Linked DNA regions of Stegostoma tigrinum. The protein of the gene in region 2 interacts with the protein of the main gene of each other region in a pairwise test. Links are inferred from orthologs where the notes say so. Each region holds a gene or a part of one and is shown on either strand. Other genes may lie near its edges.

Evidence for each region.
Region 1: the proteins of fam161a (region 2) and cadpsa interact in a two-hybrid assay, tested with the Homo sapiens proteins (2 studies listed by BioGRID). The two-hybrid records come from large-scale screens. The link is inferred for Stegostoma tigrinum from reciprocal best matches to the Homo sapiens genes FAM161A and CADPS.

What each region holds. Positions count from the first base shown.
Region 1 is NC_081364.1:48,963,566-48,971,592, reverse strand, and holds the start of cadpsa (calcium-dependent secretion activator 1), read right to left. Parts: upstream 3,235-8,027; 5' UTR 2,765-3,234; coding exon 2,429-2,764; intron 1-2,428.
Region 2 is NC_081362.1:40,580,934-40,588,557, reverse strand, and holds the start of fam161a (protein FAM161A), read right to left. Parts: upstream 3,180-7,624; 5' UTR 2,670-3,179; coding exon 2,523-2,669; intron 2,475-2,522; exon of another isoform or gene 2,367-2,474; coding exon of another isoform or gene 2,352-2,366; intron 1-2,351. UniProt on the Homo sapiens protein: Involved in ciliogenesis.

The DNA.
Region 1 (8,027 bases), on a different chromosome or scaffold from region 2:
CCAAGCTGAGATTCCAACCCTCTTGATTACAAAAAGCAACACTCCAAGCTCACATCAGTTTAGATTTTTTGAAAAGCCTTACCATTTCTTTATCACTATTCCTATACTCTCATACTGACTTGCCAGCCATCATCACCATCCAAAATTCCTGCCAAATGTATTTAGACCCAAGTTCATAACAAAACTGCAAAGGTTCTCAATCCACTAACAGCTCAAGTTTAACATTCTGATTGTAGAACTTGAAGTTCTTCATGACTTTTTCCATCCCTACTTCTGTAAACTGCTCCAAATCGCTGACGAGTCTGCGCTTTCTTGTACCTACCAAAACTGTGTTTTTGTAAGTGATGCCCATGTCTTTACAGTCTGGGGTCCCACACCAGAATCTTTGCCCTAAAATCTTACCATTGTCTCAATTTATTTTATAAAAATCCCCTTGAAAACCACTTCCTTAACCACACTTTGTATCATCTCGCCCACCATCTCCTCAAATGGGATGGCACTCTGTTTTCTACCCACTTTGGGAGATTTTTTTTCTCTGTACTGAAGGTATTCCATAAACACCAGGGTTTCCACTGTAGACTGAGCTAAAATTCTGAATACATAAATTAATTAGATGAAAAAGAAACAATGATTTAGCAATGAAATATTTTGCTCACCTGTCCTTACATTTATAGATTACCTCAACAAGTCTTTCAATTTTCGATAAAATATTGTAACATGTATAACTGCAGCAATTAAATGTTTCTGATCATTTAATTAGAGAAATTCTGTAGCCTTTTGGTTAGCTCCGTTGTCTGAATGGCTGGTTTACAGAGCAGAGCGACAGCAACAGCATGGGGTCAATTCCCATACCTGAGGAGACACAAAGGTCCCTTTGTCTCAATCTCTCCCCTCACCTGAGGCATTCAGCCACCATCAGCTGTCTTTCTCGAACAAGACAGCAGCTTTATGATCTGACAAGATTAGGACTATGACGACTTTACCTTTAGTAAACATAAACGATTCATTTTCTCGCTTTCTGCATGACAATTGGCAATAACAATGTCTTGAATTATCTTGTTACTCAGATCCATAAATATATTTAGAGAGATATATGCAAATATTGCATGCAATGTTACTTCTTGACCAAAAAAGTAGTAAATTACATCTTGAGAACTTGAAACTTACAGCCTTCAAAATCACATTTATTGCTCAAGTCTTTCACATTTGTGTACTTTTACATTTAAACATACTTTGTCATATAATAATTAATCATATACTACGAAACGTGGCATACCCAAGCAGCAATTAATATAACTGCTTACAGTTAATGCTTGGACTGAAAGGAAGTGTCGAACAGGAGGATTCCTCCAAGAGAACAGCCTTTTCAGTTTTTCCACTTTCAGAGTTAAGGGTCTAAACTAAATTGCGAAAACAAAATCTAAAGCAAATTGAAGGGTTCCAGATGACAACTGTGCCAGGAGGGACAGCCAATACAGAAGGGTAGTCATTCCTCAGCATAGTAAAAATGATCTATATTAGTACGGCGCAAGCAGGGACAGGCTAGTGCTAGTCCATAAACTAAGGAGTGCTCTTATCAGTACTTGACGTTCTTCAGTTGATAGTGTAGCAGCCCGAAGTAATATTTCTGAGCTCAACACAAGCTATTACGAGTGCTGATTTTGAAATGTATTACCACTGACAGTGGGAGTGATAGTCTTTGTCAGCGCCACTTGGCGGTGACAGCAATCAATATTGGGGAACGATAACGCCCCATGTTCTAATCGGGGCGCAGGTACTGTAGGATTATTTGTATAACAGGATAGTGTTTCTACACAATAGCATAATAAAACACATCGCAAATCGATCTTGGGTGTGTTTATGGCAGGGTTTTACTCGACACCCTAGTCTGTGCTGCTGGACAATGATAAAATAGCCACATCTGAGAACAAAGGACAATTCTCAGACCGTTTTCATAGAGGTACGTTTGGAATTAAGTTCTTTTTTGTATTAGCTGGGCAGAGTTTGACCTGTTTGCAATTTCGAAAGGGGAGCCTCAAATAGAAAAGCCACCGCAAAGTTGTCTTTAGCTTCCCCGCCATGATTAACAAGTCACCTTGGACTGCTAATTATTGGCTCTATTTAAAGGGCGCGAGTGCAACAAAGTGTCTGTCTGCAGACTGGGTCCTCTGGGCGCCCTGTAACTGGACGAAAACAGCTACCGCAGTGAGAAGCGAAATAAAGCACCCAGATCGATCCAATTTCCAGCACCTCCTTCGGCAGAGCGAAGACATCAGCAACGTCAAAAACTGCTTGCAATTTTTTTGCCATCAGCTGATTAACACGAGGTTAAAGCTGTTGCAGAGGATGCACTGAGCCCCCTTGTAACCAGAAAGCTTGCTAACGTGTTTAGGCAGGATTTTTTTTTTGTCCTTGTTGGCTGGCTTACCTTTTGCTGCCTCCTCGCCATGTCTGTAGGCTGCTTGGCATTGAATGGGTAGGCGATGCATCTCATCACAAAGACATACAACTGAAGCTTTCTCTTTCTCTCTTCCTCCTCTTTCTGCAGCCTCTCGAGCTCCTCTTTCTCCTTCTCGCTCACCACCGAAGGGCTGGGGCTGGACGGCCGGATGCTGCTGCTCCGGCTGCTCGGTTGTAAACCTCCGCTGCTCTCGCTGGTCCTGCTCGGGGACAACCGACTGCCCGGCGCCGGAGCCTGCACCTCCTTGCTCTCCTCCTCAACTATCTCCTCCGATTCCTCCTCACTAGACGACGGGTCCAACATTGTGGCACCTCACCTGCTCGCTCGCTCCCACTCTCCTGCACTGAATAAACCAAGAGAAATTGCAAACTGCAGGCACCGTGCGAGTAAATAGAAGCAGAGAGGAAGCGAGCTGCCCTGTGCTTTGCACGGATTGTCAGCAGACAGGAAGCCGAGTGCTTACGTTCTTGTGATTTAACCCTGCTCTCACCGACACAAGGTATTAGGGACGTGCACAGGTCTGGGATCGAGGCTGCATCGTGTCTCTCTCTGCCTGCCCAATTCCGTCAGTACAATGTGATGGATGACCACCGCTTTCTACTACAGGTCTGCAACACAGATAGAGGCACATACATTTATATATGCGGCCGCGGTGGGGACCTCTGTAATCTGCAAAGATTAATCGCTGGAGGTTCTGATTTGACTCCCAATATTGTGACAGCTTTGTACTCGCACTGTACCGGGAGGGAGGGGCAGAGTGACCACATTCCCAGCCTTTCATTAACACTGGATTCAAAGTGTTGAACTGAAACGGTAAAATCTTGTTTCACAAGAGAAAACAAAAGATGTATTGATATTATGGAAGTTGCATCCCCTTTTATTTAAATCACATTTATAAACATGATAAGGTTCAAAAGGAAACAAAAACATAAAGGCAAAATAATTCAGAGATTGTAGGAACTGCCGATGCTGGAGAATCTAAGATAACAAGGTGTAGAGCTGGACGAACACAGCAGGCCAAGCAGCATCAGAGGAGCAGGAAAGCTGATGTTTGGGGTCTGGACCCTTCTTCAGAATAATTTCCTAGTTCCTGAGATGATATTCATTTACTTTTCAGAAAAAGTCCACAATTTTGGCAGTAGATTGTGAAACTGGATTGTCTGGATTCGGTCATTCTTGAAAATAGAATGCCCAAGGAAATGAAGTTGTTTCAGGCTCGGCATAAGACTCCAAAATCTACAACATTTGTTAGACCTGACAGGAGATTTTTTTTCTTGGAATGTCACCTGAGATATTAGCTTTGTAAGTCATCCATCTCATCAACGACGAATTTTCCACGGGAATCTTCATGTCAAATCATCACCTGTTTCTTGAACATGATATTTAAATTCCGTAGGTTACCACAGACTTTGCGGCATAGCCGATAAAAGGTTTTACATTTGGAAAAAAGCCCAACGTTTGAGTGGACACACTCGAAAAGCTGTTCTCGCAGAATTCGACCCTCTGCGCCCCCTACTGCAAACTAATGATAAGACAGGAAGTGTAAAGGATTTGAGGTACCCATTCATAAAATTAAAATCGGTTTTCATAGCTCGTTGTGATATGAAGCAGCAGTCATAACTTGCGTTGCAACGTGTTCTCGAAGTTTGGCATGTTTTAGACTTGTTGGCATGATTTTCGGGCCGGCAGGAGGAGAGAGTAAGTGGAGCAAGGAGTTACATGGCTCTGAGATAATGGGAACTGCCGATGCTGGAGAATCCAAGATAACAAAATGTGCAGCTGGATGAACACAGCAGGCCAAGCAGCATCTTAGGGGCACAAAAGCTCCCGAGATGCTGCTTGGCCTGCTGTGTTCATCCAGCTCCACACTTTGTTATCTCAGTTACATGGCTCTGACCCAGTTTTCCACCATTGCTCCATATCAGGGCGCTGGCTCATAAATGTTCAGCGGGCTTTAAATGGGGCAGTAATTTAAGGGCCAGATCTTCAGGTGAGGTGATGACCACCAAGAAGGCTGTCCACACACTGCAACAAAAACAGACATCCACTGTTGAAAACCTGGAAGAAAGGGTCCATAACTAATAGCTTTCAGCAAAAAGATCACTTCGAGACCACATGAAACACAGGCAGCCCATAGACTACATTTCAGTGCTCAACAGGATGACCAGTGTTAATTGTTATATAGAACAGGGAGTCACCAAGTCATGCAGCATGGAAGCAGATCCATCGGTCCAAATAATCCATGCCGATCATAATCCCAAACTTAATTAGCCCTACCTGCCTGTAGGAGGTAGCAAGAACTGCAGATGCTGGCAGTCAGAATCCATACAGTGTGGAGCTGGAGGAATACAGCAAGTCAGACAGCATTGGAGGAGCAGAAAAGTCGACATTTAAGGTCATGACCCTTCATCAGAACTGTATTTGCTCGTATCCCTCCAAACCTTTCCTATTCACGTACTTATCCAAATGTATTTTAAACATTGCAACTGTCACTGCATCACCCACTTCCTCTGGCAGTTCATTCCATACACTAATCAATCTCCGTGTAAAAAGGTTGCCCCATGTCCTTTTTAAATCTTTCTCCTCTCATCTTAAAAATGTTCCCCCCCCACCTAGTTTTGACCACTAGCTTATTCACTCAGAGCTGAACCTCCATTTCGAATCTCAGACCAAGAAACAAGTCAGCAAAGAAATTGCTAATCTCATATTGTAGAGATAAGTATCAAGTAAACTTACAGACCCAACTGAACACCCCGACCTTATGGCACATTGCGCGCCAGAAGACTTCTGGAAATAGTCAAAGATGCAATAATGGCTGTTTCCAAGGTAATCAGATCCAACACAAAAAAGAATAGGGACTAGTTTGATGAAAATAGTGGGGAAATCTAGAATCTGCTGGCAATAAAGGGGTCAGATCATTATATTCATCTGGCTCAGCCAGACTGGCCAGGAGAGAAAAAAAAAAGCAGAATGCCAAAAGCTTTTTCTGATGAAGGGTCTAGGCCTGAAACGTCAGCTTTTGTGCTCCTAAGATGCTGCTTGGCCTGCTTTGTTCGTCCAGCTCCACACTTTGTTATCTTAGACTGCCAAAAGGTGCAGTGTCCTTCAAGGTTAACTGAGGAATATCCAAAATGACTGGTGAATCATACTTGCAGAAAAAAATACTAAATTTTACACTGATACTGGCAACATAAGATGCTTCTATGAAGCACTAAATTCTATCAATGGACCAGCATATCAAAGCCAAACCCCCATGAGCAGCACCGATGGCCAGACACAGCACATTATCAAGGATCAGTCTGGATTGCTGGCCTTTGACCTCGGGATGAAACTGTGACCTCCATGAACCAGCTGAAGTTGATGGAATTGCACCCAAAGCCATGAGGCATGCTGGCCTTGCCCATGATACTAAGCTCCTTGAGATTTTCAGTGCTGACTGGGAGCAGGGCAGGATTCCATAAGACTGTCATGACACTGTACAAAAACAAGGAGGAAAGCCAGAATGCTCCAACTATCATGGGATCACCGTACTTTCTATTGCTGGAATAAACCTGGCTGGAATACATTCGAACAAGTTTGTGCCTACCATTGTAGAGGAAACTTTCCCAGATAATCAGTGCAGTTCTCTAGAAATCAGAGGTACCACAGAAGAATAGTATTTCTCAGTCCATTTACGAGTGAGAACAATTTCTCTCTATCCAGTCTGATCAGACCGCCCCCACTACGATTTTGAAAAGTTCATTCAGACCTCCTGTTAGCCTTCTCCTCTCCAAGAAAAGTGTCCTAAATTCTCCAAACTTTCCTCATAACTGAAGTATCTGATCCCTAGAACCAATCTTGCAAATCTGTTCTGCACACTCTTCAATGCATTTGCGTCCTTCCAATAGTGTGGCACACAGAACTGTACACAATATTCTAATGTACCTTGAAATAAAAAGTGATTAATGTTGGACAGGAAACCCTCAGGAAAAATGGAAATGTTGCTGTTACTGAGGGCATCCAAGTCTTTTCTTTTCCTAGTGGAGAATCTATGTGGGAGATCCTGATAAAAATTAGGTTTCTCAACAGGGTTCATCAGCTGTTCTTTAACTGGCATTTCAGTAAAGAATGACAGCTGCTTACCTTTATAACAGCTAGGATTTTTGCACTGACTAATATTACTGCTGCCACCAATACACACGTTATAACAATCACAAAACCTGTGAACTTGAGTGCAGATTTTAGTCGAGTGAAATGGTTCAAGAACAGGTGCAGAGATGTACTACATGAGTTCGCAAAGGGACAGAACAATCAATAACGTACAGCAAATCATTCAGACATGCCCCAGAATGTCCATGCCTGAATGCAAGTATTAATGTTAATGCTGCACTTTCTGAGACAGTAGTGGGAGAGACCTAGGTTGTCATCAACAGCTGCGCAATGAGGAAAATGACCATTTGACGTAGTCAGTCCATGGTGCAGGAAAGTAATGGAGGCCAAATAGCTTACTCCCAAGATCATTTCTAATGTGAGGGTATTAAGGAATACAGAACAAAGGCAGGTAAATAGAGTTGAGGAATCAGATTAGCCACTATCAAACTAAATAGTGAAACAAACTTGAACCATTTACTGAGAGATAATGGGAACTACAGATGCTGGAGAATTCCAAGATAATAAAATGTGAGGCTGGATGAACACAGCAGGCCAAGCAGCATCTCCTGAGATGTTCATCCAGCCTCACATTTTATTATCTTGAACCATTTACTGGCCTAATCCTGTTCTACTCAAAGCCTTAATTAAAAGGAGGATCATGGAGACTACATCCTGACAGACTATTGAAATTTCAGAAAAGTTTTGAGTAACGAAGAGAAGTGTCACTTTAAAAACAAAGACATTTAGCTCAACAGGAAACACCCTCAACAACTTCTCTTTCGATTCCTCCCATTTCCTACAGACAAAGTGGGTGGTCATGGGTACCCGCATGGGCCCAAGCTATGCCTGTCTTTTGTAGGTTACGTGGAACAATCCCTTTTCCGTACCTACACTGGCACTAAACCCCACATCTTCCTCCATTACATTGATGACTGTTTCGGCGCCGCCTCATGCTCCCATGAGGAGCTCGAACATTTCATCCACTTCACCAACACCTTCCACCCAACCTTAAGTTCACCTGGACCATCTCCAACACATCCCTCACCTTCCTGGACCTCTCTGTCTCCATCTTTGGCAACGACCTAGAAAGCGATATCCATTTCAAGCCCATCAACTCCCACAGCTACCCAGAATACACCTCCTCCCACCCACCTTCCTACAAAAATGCCATCCCCTATTCCTAATTCCTCCGCCTCCGCCGCATCTGCTCCCAGGATGAGGCATTCCACTCCCGTACATCTCAGATGTCCTTGTTTTTCAAGGACTGCAACATTCCCCCCGGCAGTGGTCGAGAATGCCCTCGACTGTGTCTCCCGCATTTCCCGCAACTCATCCCTCAAACCCCTGTCCGCAATAACAACCAAAAGAGAATCCCCCTCGTCCTCACGGACCACTCCACCAACCTCCGGATACAATGCATCATCCTCCGACACTT
Region 2 (7,624 bases):
TTCCCTGCAACCACAGGAAGTGCTACACCTGCCCTTACACCTCCACCCTCATCTCCATTCAAGGCACAAAACAAACCTTCCACATCAGAGAGGGGTTCACCTGCACATCCGTCAATTTGGTCTGCTGCAGCTGCTGCTCCTGATGTGGCCTGCTCCCCATCAGGGAGACTAAGCGTCAGCTCTGAGACCATTTTGTACAGCATCTGTGCTCTATACACAACCTTCTGGCTGCCAACAATTTTAACTCCCCCTCCCACTCCCTTGGTGACATGTCCATCCTGGGCCTTCTGCAGCGTCACAATGAGACCACCCGCAAACTGGAGGAGCAGCACCTCATATTCTGCCTCGGTAGCCTACAGCCCGGAGGCCTAAACATGGAATTCACCAGTTTTAAAATTTCCCCACCCCAACGTCATCCCATGTCCAACCCTCCCCTGCCTCCTTGACTTGACACAACCTGCCCATCTTCTCTCCCACCTATCTGCCCCTCCCCTCCCACTGACCAATCCCCACTACCCCTACCTGCACTCACCTATCACTATCCCACCTATCTTCCCCAGCCCCACACCTCCTCTCTCTATTTCTGAGCTCCCTTCACCCTCCCCATTTCTGAAGGCGGCTCCCGGCCCGAAACGTCAACTTTCTTGCTCTTCTGCCTGGCTTGCTGGGTTCCTCCAGCTCCATACTGTATTGTCACTGTACCAGCTGTCATTTAAATCCATATTACTTACTTATATTCATTTACTATCATTATCACTGCCTTCAACTTTTGCACAGGGTGCCTTCACAATCTGTTCTGCTTGTTCCTCCTCCCTGTCAGTCCACAGCATTAAAAAAACATTCTTAGCTCCTTTCAATACTGGAGAAATTAATAACACACCTAAAACATTAATTTTATTTCTCCTTCTACCGATGGTACTGGACCTGCTGCGTTTCTCCAACAAGGCGTTTTCTTTCTGTTCCAAAACTGGTGCTAGTGCCCCATGAGCTGAAACGCACTCTTCCAACACCAATCTTTAAGAAATGCATTTAACTCTGACTTTATTAACCCTATGTCAGTTTGCTATGGCTCAGAATCTTGAATTTCTTATTTCTAGTTTAGCTCCTAACTGTTCAATATCAGAAGATAATTCAGCAGAACTCCTTTCCAGTTTTTTCAATATTTTTGTTACCAACATTGCACAGTGAGAACTGGATCCCTCCCCTCCCATTCCAAATTCCTCTCCAGCCTAAAGAAGTCCTTAACCCTGGCACCAGGCAGGCAATACAGCCTTTGGGACTCAAGCTAAGAAGAACAGCATCTATCCCATAACTGTACTGTTTCCCACTGCTCCTGTATTTCCATTTCAATTTCCTTCACCCACATTAATGGCTCCCTGCACCACAATGTTGTTATTAGTTTGCTCATCCTTCCTGCAGTTTCCACTCTGGTTCAAGCTGATTTCAAAGACCTTATAACTGTTGGAGAATTGCATGAACTGAAGCTCCTTAAAAGCTGTATCTTGCTTCCCCATAATAACAAAGTGTGAAGCTGGATGGACACAGCAGGCCAAGCAACATCTCAGGAGCACAAAAGCTGACATTTCGGGCCTAGATCCTCTGATGAAGGCTTGGTCTGCTGTGTTCATCTAGCTTCACACTTTGTTATCTTGGATTCTCCAGCATCTGCAGTTCCCATTATCTCTTGTTTCCCCATACCTGCCTCACCTAAAATCACACTCTTGTATTGCTGATCACAGACTAAATTTGAACGACCTAACTATAAGTGAGAGACAACTCCTGGAGCCAAACCCTGGTAAATTTACCCTCTCTGACATGGTGCAATATCATCAGTAATGACAATTACAAAATTTAAAAGGAATCTGGGTGAGTACATGAATAGAAAGGGTTTAGATAGGCATGGGCCCAATGCTGGCAAATGGGAGTAGATAAATTTAGGATATCTGGTCAGCATAGACGAGTTAGACTGAACGGTCTGTCTCCGTGCTGTACAACTCTATGACTTCAGCTCCTGATCCACTGAGCAAAATTACATAAAATACACGATATTTATTACCAAGAAATGCCATATTCAATAAACACAATAATCATCATGGAAATCCCTAATCACATATTCGATCAAACCCTGACCATTTCGAATAGTTTACACTTGATTCCGATCGTCTAAAATTAGTGGGAGAAAAACCAACTGCCAGATTCTACAAATAAAACTGCGGCGATAGAATATGAGTGCTGCCTTTGAAAGAAAGGGGGACGAAAGCGAATACTTTTGTTGCCGGGGCATAATCAATCCAAATATTAAGAAAAAAAAATTGCTCCAAGACACAAGCGGCTAGAATATTCACACTAACTTGAACAGTGTTCATTCTTGAGTATTTTTTTCAGAAAAACATTACCGCAAACCCTGGACCCAAAGCTCAGCTCGAGCAGCCGACCTCGTTACCATTGACAACGTGGCCGCCATGAATCAGTGACGTAAACGCCTCCCCCCGCAAAACACACAACAACCGCAAGGCCCTCACCTCCTCGGCGACAGATGGTTTCTGGCTGTTTCGTAAAGTCGGCGCTTTCCTTCTCTCGTACAGAGTAGAGGGTATCCTGGTCTTCGGATTTACGGGGGTTTTGATGCAGGAGGTAATGAGAACCGAGAACTGGTGGGGATTCTGCATCTCGTCGAGACTTCGCCGCAACCCTTACAGCAACGGTCAATCCACGGGAGGGGGATTAACATTACGGGGAGCCCGCAGGGTCAAAATCGTTCGTTTTTGGAGCGCGATTATTCCAATTCTCTTTTACCTTCCTCTACCGAGAAAGGCACAAACTGATTGTAACGATGGCGAACCTATCAATATTTGTGTTAATTGATATATTTTTAAAAATGACAGCAGACTTTGGAGTGAAATTAGGATGTTGGTATCACGGATACCAGCTGAGTTAGCTGGACGGCGCAATGCACGGTGGCGCCAACAGGGTGGTTCAATCCCCCCCATGGGCTGAGATTATCAAGAAGGTCCTGCCTTCTTAACCTCGCCTCAAGCAGTTTGACCTGTAAGGTAAAACAACACCGCCGTTGTGTATTTGTAATTAGAAAGCAGCTGATATCTGCGTCACTGCCAAGGTAATTTCCACTTCCATAACATTGTTGGAAACAGCCAGTGTTGTATCCGAGATAACAACGTGTACAGCTGGATGAACACAGCAAACCAAGCAGCATCAGAGGAGCAGGAAAGGCTGACGTTTCGGTCCTAGAGCCTTCTTCAGAAAATCCCACCTGTTACTGCTGATTTAAACGGCCACTAACCCAATTTACCCCTAGCGAGTTTGAGAAGATTTGTAGCTCAGGTTGAGGTTCTGGATGTGAGTTTGCTCGCTGAGCTGGAAGGTTCGTTTTCAGACGTTTCGTCACCATTCTAGGTAACATCATCAGTGAGCCTCCGACGAAGCCTGTACTAGGACAGAATTCGAGATCATCCAGCAGTTCTGCTATTTTCACCAGATCTCTGCTAAGGCAAAAATCTGAACCTAATTATTTTGACTTATCTGTATTGTAATATGAATCGGTATTTTAAAATCAGAAATTTGACAGATTTTCATTGCAGACACTGTTGAAAGAAAATGGAGCCGAAATTGAACAAAGGAAGAAATTTTAATTTACCATTACAGATCTGAAATCTTGATTTAATAAAACATTCAAACAAGTCTGGTATGTGACATTTTATTAAGAAATTTTAATTTAATAATTTTAAAAGGTTTGAGTTAAAAATTACATTCTTTACTGATCACCCACTTTAATTGATCACATTCATACAAAGATGTCCTTAAATATTACTATCTGATCTCTTAGATTAATGTTTGTTGGGAATTTCATTTGTTGAAATTTCCTGATTAGATGTCATCTACTGATTCATCAGAAGCACTGTTTTTTCCTAAGGAAAGAGTTGATAAACAAGAGGTAGACTGGATATGAGAATTTGCTGTTGGTTAGGGGCTGAACAGACGTGAAATGGGAACTTGAATGGTGAATCTGTTAAGCTAATAGAAGAGAAGAACAATTTACCATCACTTGCAATTGTGCAAGTACAGTGAGATGTTTATTAGTCACCACAATTTGGTGCCATTTTAATCACAAAAATTATAAAAATAAATAATTGAGACAAAATTTATCTTTTGCTCCTGGGTTTCTGAAGTGGCAATAGGACACCATGGCCAAAGCCACCTCTGAAGTTGCCAAAACAAGAATTTCCAGACCGACCCCCATGCTGCCACTATCGAACCCTGCACTGAGGACACTGCATCACTGCCATAGCAAGGAGGGACAGACTGGACCCACTAAGTTGCCAACACTGGATCTGTCGCTCAAGCCATCGCCACTTCAGTGATTACCCAAAATGACCACATTGCCGCCATAATCAAGAGGAATTAACTGGAACCACCATGCCACCACGACGATAGCCACTGCCACCAGGATTAATGGACCAGATCCATCAACAATGATGCCTTTGATATAGCAATGGCCACAAGGAACGGTCATCCGGATTCACCATGCTGCAGTTGCAGCAGCAGGCTCTTGCTACCGCCGTATTTCACCACATCCACAGTAAACAAGTGAACTTTGAGTAAAAAAAGAGAAATGAAGAAACAAAAAAAGAATACAGCCAGCCAGGTGAATGGGAATGGGAGTGTATGGACACAGAGCCCAAACACTTCTCTTCCTGCTATTGCCACCATCTTGAAAAAGAGTATTCAATTTAATTCAACACTCTGTCCATAAGATATTGGAGCAGAACTCAGCTATTCAGCCCATTGAGTCTGCTTTACCATTTGATAATGGCTGATCTGTTTCTCAACCCCTTTCTCCTGAATTGATCCTCTTACTAATCAAGAAACTATCTATATCTTAAAGGCACACAGTCACTTGGCCTGCACTGCTGACTGTGGCGACGTGTTCCACAGAGTCGCCACCTTCAGGCTGATGAAATTCCTACTCACCTTGGTTCTAAAAGGCTGTCCTTTCACCCTGAGGCTACCTTTTCGGGTCATAGTCTCCCCTGCTTATGGAACGTCTTCTCTATGTCCGGTCTACTCCTCCAAATTTACTCAGGTTCTCCCCTCATCCATCTAAACTCCATCGAGTACACATTGCAATTCCTTTACCTTGTATCATATGATAAGCCGTTTATCTCCAGAGTCATTCTCGTAAACCTCCTTCAGACTCCTTCCAATACCAGCACATCTTTCTTTAGATGTGGGGCCCAAAACTCTCAATATTCTAAATACAATTTGACCAGAACCTGATACAGCCTCAGCTGTACATCTGTGTTCTTCTTTTCTAGTCCTCTTGAAATGAATGCCAATGTCGTATTTGCCTTCATAACCACCAGATTTTTATTTTCTTTGTTTTATTAATGGGATGAGGGCGTCGCTGACTAGGCAGCATTTATCATCCATCCCTAAGCGCCCAGAGGGCAGTTGAGAGTTAACCACACTGCTATGGGTCTGGAGTCACATGTAGGCCAGACCAGGGAAGGATGGCAGTTTCCTTCCCTAGAGGACATTAGTGAACCAGATGAATTGCATGTTAACCTTAAGAGAATCCTGAACGAGGACTCCCAAGTCCCTTTGTGCTTTACATTTCCAAAGCCTTTCCCCACTTTGAAAATAGTCTACGCCTCTATTCTTCCTGTGAAAATATACAACCTCACACTTTACCACATTGTTCTTTTCCCACTTGGCTAGCGTGTCTAAGTCTTTCTGCGGCCACTCCATTTCCTCAACACTTATTTGTCCCTCCACTTATCTTCGTGTCATCTGCAAACTTAGCAACGATACCCTCGGTTCCTTTGTCTAGATCATGAATGTTTAATGTGAATAATTGTGGTCCCAATACTGAACCAGCAGAACCTCACTAGTCACCAGCTGCCATGCTGAAAAAAGCCCTTCATCTCTACTCTCTGCCTTCTGCCAGTCAGCCAGTCCTCTATCCATGCCAGTCCCTTGCCCTAGGCCTTCTGGAAATTCAACTGGATCATGTCTACTGGCTCTCCTTTGCCTAACTTGCATGTTACTGCCTCAAGAGTTCTAACAAATTTATTAGACATGACCTCCTCTTGATGAAGCCATGCTGACTCTGCCCTATTTGACCATACACTTCCAAGTACTCTGCAATCTCATCCTTAATGATGGATTGTAAAATCTTACCAATCACCGAGATCTGGTTAACTGACCCATAGTTTCCTGTATTCTGCTTTCCTCCCTTCTTAAACAGAGGTGTTGTATTAAAGTGTTCTGGAACCCTTCCCAACTCTAGCGATTCCTGAAAGATCACCACTAATGCCACTACAATCTCCTCACTTATTTCTTTCAAAACACATAACAAAAGAATCTCCTTCAGAACCCTGAGATGTAGTTCATGTGATCTGGGTGATTTATCCAACTTCAGTCTTTTCAGCTTCCCAAGTACCTTCTCCCTAGTGATGGGAACTACAGTCACCTCTCTTCCCAACTGTCGAAGTTCTGGTATGTTGTTGATGTCTTCCTCTGTGAAAACTGATGCAAAGTACCTATTCAAGTCCTCCACCACTTCTTTGTTCCCCTTTACAACTTCTCAATCCTCATTTTCCAGTGGTTCAATGTCCACTCATGCCTCCCTTTCTTTATAGATATCTTAAAAAAAACTTCTCTCATATTTCATCTTTTACCCCTCCAACACAACTGAGACTGCAACTGCATATGTGCAGGAAATGCTCCCCATTTTTTTGCAGCACAGCCAAAGTTTACATCAATATGGATGTACAACTTTGGTATTGTAGGGATAAAGACAATGTTGGGGCACAACAATAGAAGTTTCACTTTTCTCTGTGAATCTAAGGTCCACGTGATGATAGTGGTCAAATTGTGCTGTCAAATTAATAGCAAAATTAATATTTATACCTTTTAATTGCAGAAGTCACTGTAACTTATGGCGAGGGCACATTTGCAAATCACAGACTGCTGTCCAGTTGGCTCCAGAATATGCTGTTCTAAGAAACTATCCTGAAAGCATTCTCTGAAATTTTTATTTAGTTACCTTTGCCCATCTGACTTTTTTAGTCTATATGTGGATAAGCAGGTCTTAGGATGAGTGTGGCATACCATGATAACAGTTCTCCTAATATGAGTTGCTACAAGCTCGTAAGGCAAACCTGGGCAGACATATATGTTAATGATTGGACCCCGGGGAATGTTTTGACCACAGGAGGCAAGTGTGCCAAATGTCTTCCTCACTATCCCATCTACCTGCAACTCCACTTTCAAGGAACTGAGTGCCTAAACCTCTGTTTTGACAATATTCCCCAGGGCCCTATTAACTACCTAAATCCTGCCGTGTTTTGCTTTCTCCAGTTCTCTTCAATTTGCCCATATGGCTGTGTTTGTTGACTTTGCTCAGAGCAATGCAGACATTTTCTCCATTTCATGCCTTCATTAACACCCATTTGACATTTCAATCGCTCCTTTGGCCTTTGCCTTTGGGTTTGCATCCTCATCACCTGTTCCCTTCATTCTTACTCCCCTTCTGTTTACAACATAAAAAGCAGCATTTTCCAGCATCTTCAGTTTTGAACAAGAGTTAGACCAGATTGTAGAT